Linked DNA regions of Canis lupus familiaris. The protein of the gene in region 1 interacts with the protein of each later gene in a pairwise test. Links are inferred from orthologs where the notes say so. Each region holds a gene or a part of one and is shown on either strand. Other genes may lie near its edges. The genes, in order: TMEM239 and CXCL16.

What was found.
Region 2: the proteins of TMEM239 (region 1) and CXCL16 interact in a two-hybrid assay, tested with the Homo sapiens proteins (2 studies listed by BioGRID). The two-hybrid records come from large-scale screens. The link is inferred for Canis lupus familiaris from reciprocal best matches to the Homo sapiens genes TMEM239 and CXCL16.

The regions. Positions count from the first base shown.
Region 1 is NC_049245.1:18,897,759-18,901,255, reverse strand, and holds TMEM239 (transmembrane protein 239), read left to right. Parts: upstream 1-1,677; 5' UTR 1,678-1,813; exon of another isoform or gene 1,814-2,259; intron 2,260-2,396; 5' UTR 2,397-2,410; coding exon 2,411-2,866; 3' UTR 2,867-2,879; downstream 2,880-3,497. Other genes in the region: C24H20orf141 (uncharacterized protein C20orf141 homolog), read left to right, coding at 1,041-1,312, 1,406-1,640.
Region 2 is NC_049226.1:32,022,300-32,026,820, forward strand, and holds the start of CXCL16 (C-X-C motif chemokine 16), read left to right. Parts: upstream 1-1,689; 5' UTR 1,690-1,861; intron 1,862-2,307; 5' UTR 2,308-2,448; coding exon 2,449-2,503; intron 2,504-2,756; coding exon 2,757-2,895; intron 2,896-3,146; coding exon 3,147-3,229; intron 3,230-4,521. Other genes in the region: ZMYND15 (zinc finger MYND domain-containing protein 15), read right to left, coding at 86-320, 758-1,343. UniProt on the Homo sapiens protein: Acts as a scavenger receptor on macrophages, which specifically binds to OxLDL (oxidized low density lipoprotein), suggesting that it may be involved in pathophysiology such as atherogenesis. Induces a strong chemotactic response. Induces calcium mobilization.

The DNA.
Region 1 (3,497 bases):
TATGCTGCCTAATTCTTGCTGTCTCCTCTCTTTGGGGCTGTATGACCACAGTTCCCTTCCCCCACCCCCATTAGTTTTCCTTCAAAGTATGATAAGTGGACAAGGACTCTGTTGTTAGTTATGATCCATTTCCATTCTTGCCTCTCAAGTCACTAAAGTGAGATGTGCTGGAACCTCCGTAGGTTCAGATTACCATGGAGATAGGTTTCCTTTTCAGATGATCAATCCCTTCCTTTTATGTTCATTTTCCTTACTTTCATCCTCAGAGTTACTTTAACTTCCAGATTGTGAGTTATTATGTCACCGCTCTTCATATTCACATTATATATGCCATTTCTGGAATTCCAGTATCTGGAACACTTCCCACAAACCACAGGCTTAGAAACAGCCCCCTCCTGCCCCACCCTGTAGCAGTCCCCTGGGAGTCCAGCTCCAGAAAGTCTCAGGGTACTTCCTGGCAGAGCCTATCTCTGCATTTCAGGGCTGCAGTCCTGAAAATTCCCCCACAAGGCATCATCCAGCTCTCAGGGGAGAGACAGCTGCCGACAGGAAGATTGAATAATTGTCCCTGGACACAGAGCTCTGGGAACCCGCAGGAGAAAGAGAGCGGCCCTTCCTCTCTTACCCACGTGGTGATGGGGTTAGAATGCCTTCCTGGTAACTCAGATCCTCTTGGGGAGTCCTGGGGGCAGAGAATTCACCAAGGCAAGAGGATGAGTCTTAGTTCTCAGAAATCATGACTCCCTTCTGGCTAAGCCTCACCTAAGATACCAGCTGCTTAGGAGGTCAAAACCAGCCACAGCTCCCTCTGTACCCCAGAACCCCACCTGGCAATAGGTCACAATGTCCCAGCTGCCCAGTCCCATAACAGCTGACTGAAGTAGCAGGTGAGGAGGGTGTGGTGAGTGAGTGTGTGGGGAGGCGGAGATTCCCACGCAGTTTACTCTCGAGTGTCTGTCAGGGCCCCACCCGGTCCCACATACCTACCCACCCCAACTCCCTCCCAGCACTAGTCCTTCCTGTCATCTCCACCTCCCTCTATGACCCAGCTTTGCTTGCCCAGGCCCAAAGGCCCTGCTTATCCTATCCCAGTCCCTCCCAGGGGCCTGAGTGCTGGGGAGGGGTCGAATAGTCCAGTAAGTCCATGTATGTCTCCCTGGGGCCTTAGCCCGGCCCAGCTCTGGGACAGTGTCCTAGGGCTGGGGGCACTGGGACTGACAGTTCGGGCAGTCTTTTCCACGGCTGGCCCAGTCTTGCTGCTGCTGCTGCTGCTGCTACTGGTCAGCTTCCTGACCTTCGACCTGTTCCACTGGTAAGTGTGCAGCAGCCTGGCAGGTGGCAGGAGTAAGCAGGGAAACAAATAGTCAATTTCCGGAAGCCCAGCTGTCACCCTGTCTCTCCACAGCCCCGCAGGCCCCGTCCAACCACAGCACATACTTCTCACAGGCCAGAGTCAGGGGGCCGGTGAGGGCCCAGGACTGCAGGAGGCTGTACTCCTGCCTACGGTGGCAGTCACGGGACAACTCAGCCCCCAGGAGGCTCTGCTACTGCTGCTCCTGAGCCTGGGGCTACTCCTGGGAGCCTGCAGCGTGCCCTTGGCCCTGCTTGGCCTGGCTTTCTACCTCCATCCTTGGATCTGAGTGCCCTCCAGAAATACACTGGCAGTGTTGCTTCCCCAGATCGCCTTTCCTCTGTTGTGGGTGGAGCAGGCAGGAGGGTACCCCTTTATCTCCAGTCTGAACCACAGGGGACCTTCAGCTCCACAATGTGGACAGTGGATACCCGGGTCTGAGTCTGAGGACAGCAACAGAAGGTGAGCTAAGGGACGGGGGTCCCAGGGCAGGATGTGGCAGCCATCTCCGAGTTTGTGGGTTGGGAGGTGGCCATTCTGGCCTCCTCTGTGGTTCTAGAGTATCAGTGTCCAGAAAGACTCACAGGAGAGCAGAGTAGGACTGGATATCAGTTAGTAGGGTAGGAACCAGGATCTGGAGGGGGCTTCCCACAAGAAAGCGTGACAATCTGCATCAGTGGGCTCAGCAGCACCCCCTGGCAGCCTGGAGGGTCCGTGGAAAGGGATTCAGGTGAGTCTTACATCCTGCAGTGACTCCTCTCTTGGTTGGACCCCACCCCTACCCGGGTCACAATAGGGATCTGGTGGGGGGGAAGGGGGGACAGAGGGACAGCAGGGGCTCCACTCTGGCCGCTAGGCCGTCCTAGGTGCTGCAGGAAGCAACATGACTTAGGTGGTTCTGCCCAGAGGTAAGCCCCAGGCCCTGGCTCAAAGCCTCACCCCACCCGTGCTGGTACCCTCCTGCCCCTGCCTCCTGCCCCCCACCTGCCCTGAGGTCCCAGGCATCTCGGGGCTGCTCCTGCAGCTGGCCTGGCCCTCTCCCCAGGTGTACCAGCCAGGATGCAGCAGCCCCAAGTGGAGACGGGTGCCATCGGGGCCGGCGAGGGGCCGCAGCAGGCAGTGCCCTGGTCAGCCTGGGTCATGCGGCAGGCCTGGGTGCGCTGGTGCATGTGCCACATGCCTCGGAGCTGGGCCCAGTGGTGGACCACATCGGGCTGGCGGCAGCCACTCCAGCGTGTGCTGTGGGGGCTGGAGGGGATCCTCTACCTGCTGCTGGCGCTGATGCTATGCCACGCGCTCTTCACCACCGGCTCCTACCTGCTGAGCTCCTTGTGGCCTGTCGTGACTGCAGCGTGGCGCCATCTGCTGCCAGCTGTCCTGCTGCTGGTGCTCAGCGCCCTCCCTGCCCTGCTCTTCACGGCCTCCTTCCTGCTGCTTTTCTCCACGCTGTTGAGCCTCGTGGGCCTCCTCACCTCCATGTCTCACCCAGACTACACTCAGGACTTGGACCAATAGAAGGGCAACCCCATCCCGCTGCCTGTGTCTGTTGAGCCCTGGGGAAGGGGAGGCCCCAGACCTCCCATCCCTAGCACTGCTCGGGCCATGTGTGATGTTGCTAAAGCTGGCAGGGTAGACTAGCCTGACCTCTGGGCACCTTCCCCAAGCCAATGCTACAGGTACTTGGTGTGGGGCATTGGGGGCTTTGAGAAGGGACAGGGCAGAAGGGTTAGCCAGGGGCAGAGCTCGGCCAAGCCACTGAGAGTTCCCACAAGGCTGTAGTGACACCACTAGGGCTCCCTTAGCAACTGGCAGCAGCTTTTTCTTGTAGCTGCTCAGCTGTCTCAGCTGCGGACTCAGTTGAGAATTTCTAGTTCGGTAGCCCTGACTGGCCATTCCTTTCACTAACCCCCCAACCTCCGCTCTTTCCCCAGGCTCTAGAAAGAGCCCACTGACAGAAACCTATCTGGGAGAAGGCCGTCCAGAAGTCCCATGAGACCTCAACTAACACCTCTCGCTCCTTTCTGCTCAGGCATCCCCCACTCCCTAGACTTCTTCCCTTCTGCCTTGGTGAGCATCCCTGAGTCTGGGAGATGGGCCACTACTAGGGTAGTGAGGATCCCAGAAGAGACCTACTCTAAGTTTCCTA
Region 2 (4,521 bases), on another chromosome or scaffold:
ATGGGGGTGGAGGCAGTGTCAGTCTGGTGGGCTCTGGAGTCCAGACCCCTAGGTGTCCCCAACCTCAGATACCAGATTTCTGTACCGATGCAGTTGGGCGTCTCCCACAGTAAGCTGTCGGGGCTTTCGAGGGTCTCCGGAGCCCATGGGGCAGGCCATGCTGTGGCAGAGGAGGGCATAGGCGCGAGGGGCCAGGTTCTCTGTCCCTGAGCCCTTGCATGCACTCCCCTGGGTTCCATCCATTAGCAGGTCAATGCCCAAGATGGTGCCATGTTCATCCGTCACCAATAAGAGGCAGGAAAGGTGCAGGGGGGCAGCCTCTGGGGAAGGAAAGTCAGAGGTGGGGAGTGGCAAAGATGGGCAGAGTCAAAGGTATGAAAATCATGCCTACAGGAGTTAGGCGGGTCAACTAAATGAACAGAGGGGACCGGGTAGAGAGGGGATGCCTCATGGAAAGAGGACACTTGCTACACGGTGCTGCCACCTGCGCCACACAGAAGTGTTGGCCTGCTGCTGGAACTTGAAAGTTTTCCTTTGACTTCTGGAATCTTTTTTTTTTTTTTTTCTTTCATTGTATAAATGTTGGCTCAAAGTTTGAAAAACAAAAACCACTGTGAGTCAATGAAAACACCTTTTGGGCCAGCTTGGCCAGCAGGCCACCCACTGGTGACTCCTGGCCAGGCTGCATGGTAGAGGAGGTCTTCCAAAGGGGAGAATGTCTAGGCAGGGGTCAGACAGGGCAGCCCCAGGATCTTACCGCTTCTCCGCCCCTTCCTCCTGTCAGGGCCCGCTTCTTCCTCAGCCTTGTCCTCTCGGCAGCCTTCCTCGCCGCCTCTGCCTCCTGCCTCCTGCTCAGCCTCCTCGGTCTCCCCTGGAGGGTTTGCTTCCTGGGGGGACTCCCTGCTGGTGGGGCCTGGCTCCCCATCCTCCTCCGGATCAACCTTCTCCACACCTGTACCCTCCTCCTCTCTATTCTCTTCCTCTTCCTCCTCCTCCTCTGCTTCCTCCCCTTCCTCCAGGCTGACAAAGCTGACATAGGGGCTTAGGTCTCGCAGGTGCAGTGGGGGCTCGTCTCCCAGGAAGCAGGCAGCACCCAGGCCTGGTGCAGGGCCCGGCTCTGCCCCTTGCCCCAGGCTGATGCCCACACTACGGTTGGGCAATACATGGAGCACCCAAAGGGCAGGGTCCTGGGGCAGTCTTCTGATCTGAGCCTCCAGCTGGCGCCAGCGGCTCTCAAGGCTGGCCCCCACAGCCCCGCGCTCTGCAGCGAACTTTCGGAACCAGCCAAACAGGAGGGCAGCGAAATCAAGGAACTCATCTCTGTATCCAGACACAAACTCCATGTCTTCAGGGGCACGGGGTCTGGGCCCAGACTAAGCAGAGGAAGGGGTGTATGGTAAGGCAGAGGGCAATGGGGGGGTTCGGGGCTGGGTCACCAAATGGGGAGGGTGTGGGTTTGAGGTTCACTAACGTGGGGCCTCTGGATGAGTGTGAGGAGCTGAGACTACTTTTCCGGGGCTCAGGGTGGGAGTTCAGGTTGAGAACTGGGGCAGGCATGGAAGTGGGAGAGCAGGGTTTCAGATGAGTAGTCGGGAGTGAGATGGTATTTGGGGCTCAGAATCCGAGGCTCAAACCCTCAAGAGTAAGGTCTGAATTGTGGATAGATTTGGAGGGCTAATCCCACGGGGAAGGGTTTGGCGAGCGGGGATTACTTTGGATCCGTCTGCGGGATGTGCGAGGAGGGAACCGGAGCGGGGGCATCCCCTCGCCTTGGACCGGTTCGGCGGGGAGTCCCCGTGGACCCAGTCCCTCCCGGCCGCTCCGCCTCTCCGGTACCTGCAGCCGCCACCACTTTTCGAAGGTAAATACCTCGGGGCTCCGGGGGGATGGGGGTGGGTGGGCGTGACGTCAGGGCCGCGGGAGCCCGCGCCCCCCCCCCCCCGGCCGAGACCCCGCCCCCGTCGGGGGCTCACGGACTTTCCCGCGGTTCTCACCCGGCATGTGACCCAGTGCCGGCGCCCGGCGGGGAAGCGAAAGCGCCCTGGGAGGTGGTGGCGGCGGAGGGCGGGAGGAGCGGTGGCGGCGGGCGGGCCGCCTGACCTGGGGCGGCTGGGCGGGCATCCCCGAGCGGGGCCGAGCTCGTGTTGCCTTTGCGCGCTCCTTCCCGGCCGCTCCCTCGGCGCGGGGGCGCGGGGGACGGGGGCGCGGGGACGCGGGGCCCCGCCTCCGGGACTTTCCCCGCGGCGGTGGCGGTGGGGGGCAGCTGCCGCGAGGCCCGCAGTACCGACCGCGCTGTCGGTTCGGAAGGTGAGAGCTCGGGAGGAGGGCGCCTCCAGCTCGCGCCGCACCCCCCACCCTCGCACCCCGACGGCCGCGGCTGCCCGGCGTCCCGGCGGGCCCGGGAGGGAGCAGCTGGACGCCGCGCTGCGGTCCGGCCTGGCCCCCGACATGGGGGCCGGGCCCCTCGTGCTGCTTGCCGCGCTGGCGCTGCTGACTCGGCCAGGTTCGTCCAGGGCCCCAGTCGAGGAGTGGAATGGGGGACCGGGGCGCCAAGGGCCGCGGGGTAGTGTGGAGCAGGGGGCGGAGCCGGGGTCCCCCCGGGGTAGGGGACAGGCTAGGGGCACCCGGGTCCGGGCGTGTGTGTGGGAGCGCCCTGTGGGTCTGGGGGTCAGATCCGGGATCCGAGGAGGAGGCGCGGTGACGCTGGGGAGCCCCTCGAGCTGGGATCTGGCGCTGACCGCCGGTACCCTTGCCAGGCGATGGCAACGAGGGCAGCGTCACTGGCAGTTGTTACTGCGACAAAGCGATTTCTTCCGGCTCCCCTCCGACCGCGGAGCTCATGGCTCATCTCCGAAAACATCTGCGAGTCTATCAGCGCTGTAATTCCTACGTCAGGTGAGCTCACGGAGCACCGGGAGGGCGGCGCTGCTGGGGCCTCCAGGACCTCACTGGTTCACCCGGAGCTCCTGGGGGCACCTGGCCCCCTCTCAGGGTTACCTTCCCCCTAATTCTCCATGCCCTTGTTTCCCTGTCCCAACCACCTGGGAATTCCCCAGTCTGGGCAGAAAGGGCCCTGCTTGCTTTTGGCAGTGACTTCAGGTCTTTGGAATGAGGAAAGAGTTAAAATCCCAAGTCTTCCTTCTTAGGTTTCAGCTACGAATGCGGAGCGTGTGTGGCGGCAGCAAGGATCCGTGGGTTCAACAGTTGATGAGCTGCTTGGATCGTAAAGGTACTGGCTTTCCCTCTCCTGCCTGAGGTCTGTCTTCAGGGCAGGGGCCCCCTCCCAATGACACCTGGCATTCCTCTTGTAGCTGGTGCCAGCCAAAGCCCCTTAGGTCCCTGTTGGCCCCGTGTCATTCACCATCACTGTCATGATTTTGGCCAATCCATCCTGTTACCTGTGCTCTTATTTCCTTAATATTTTTCGTGAAACCAAGGCACTGCTTTTGTTTTCTGGTGTTTGACTGTGGTGATCTAAAGACATACACAAAAGTTGAAAGACCAGTGCAGTGAACATCTGTAGGCCCACCACCTAGATTCCACGCTTTTTGGCTTTTTAATGTTTATATTTTATGTAATGTGTGTAGTAGGCAGAGAACACAGCAAATGCGTGTGTTTTACAATATCAAGTTTACAGCATGCTGACTATATTCGTTTTAGTTCACGCCCATCTATGTTTCTATCCATCATCAATCCGCCTTTTTTTTTTTTTTAAAAAAGATTTTATTTATTTGAGAGAGAGAGAAGAGTGCATGAGAAGGGGAAGAGCAGAGGGAGGGGGAGAAGTAGTAGACTCACTGCTGAGCAGGGAGCCCGATGTGGGGCTGGATCCCAGAACCCTCAGATCAGGGCGCCCCACCTTATTTTCTGATGTATTTCCAAATTAGTTGCAGGCTCGACCATACTTCATCCTCACACATCTCAGACTGTGTATTGTTAAGTAGAAATCAGCACTTTATTGTTGATTTTTCTCTTTTGAGGTAAAATTCACGTACAGTGAAACGAGTTAAGTTCTTATGTGTACACAAGCCGGTTTTGGAAAAACTTAACTAGCAGCTTGTCCTAAGCAATAACATCTGTGAAGCCACAGATTTGAGGCGCCGGCTGTATTTTTCTCCTAAAATAAATACACAACCGTTAAAACACAAAATGTTCTAACACGTTGCAGCTGAAGTTGTCTTGTTGGAGCATCCCTGGTGTGCATACTGTTCCGTGGGCTACAGAAAGGCCTGCCTACAGGATTGCACTCCATCCTTCTAGCTACCGTGGCCCTCGGTACTAAAATCCTGCTTTATAGCTGAAAGCAAAGTGTCTCAGGGAGTGGGGTCAAGAGACAAGGGACAAGGTTGTGCATGAGACTGCTCGGAAGCAGAGCCAGCTCTGGACACAAGCCTATCCCAGCACTTCCCTGTCGAATTCAGCTTACTTCCTTTTCCACCCCCCACCCCTGTGTCTGCCTTCCTTTTCAGGGCCTTAAGCTGTGACCTAGACCCACTACCCTTCAACTACTTTTTCACTTTG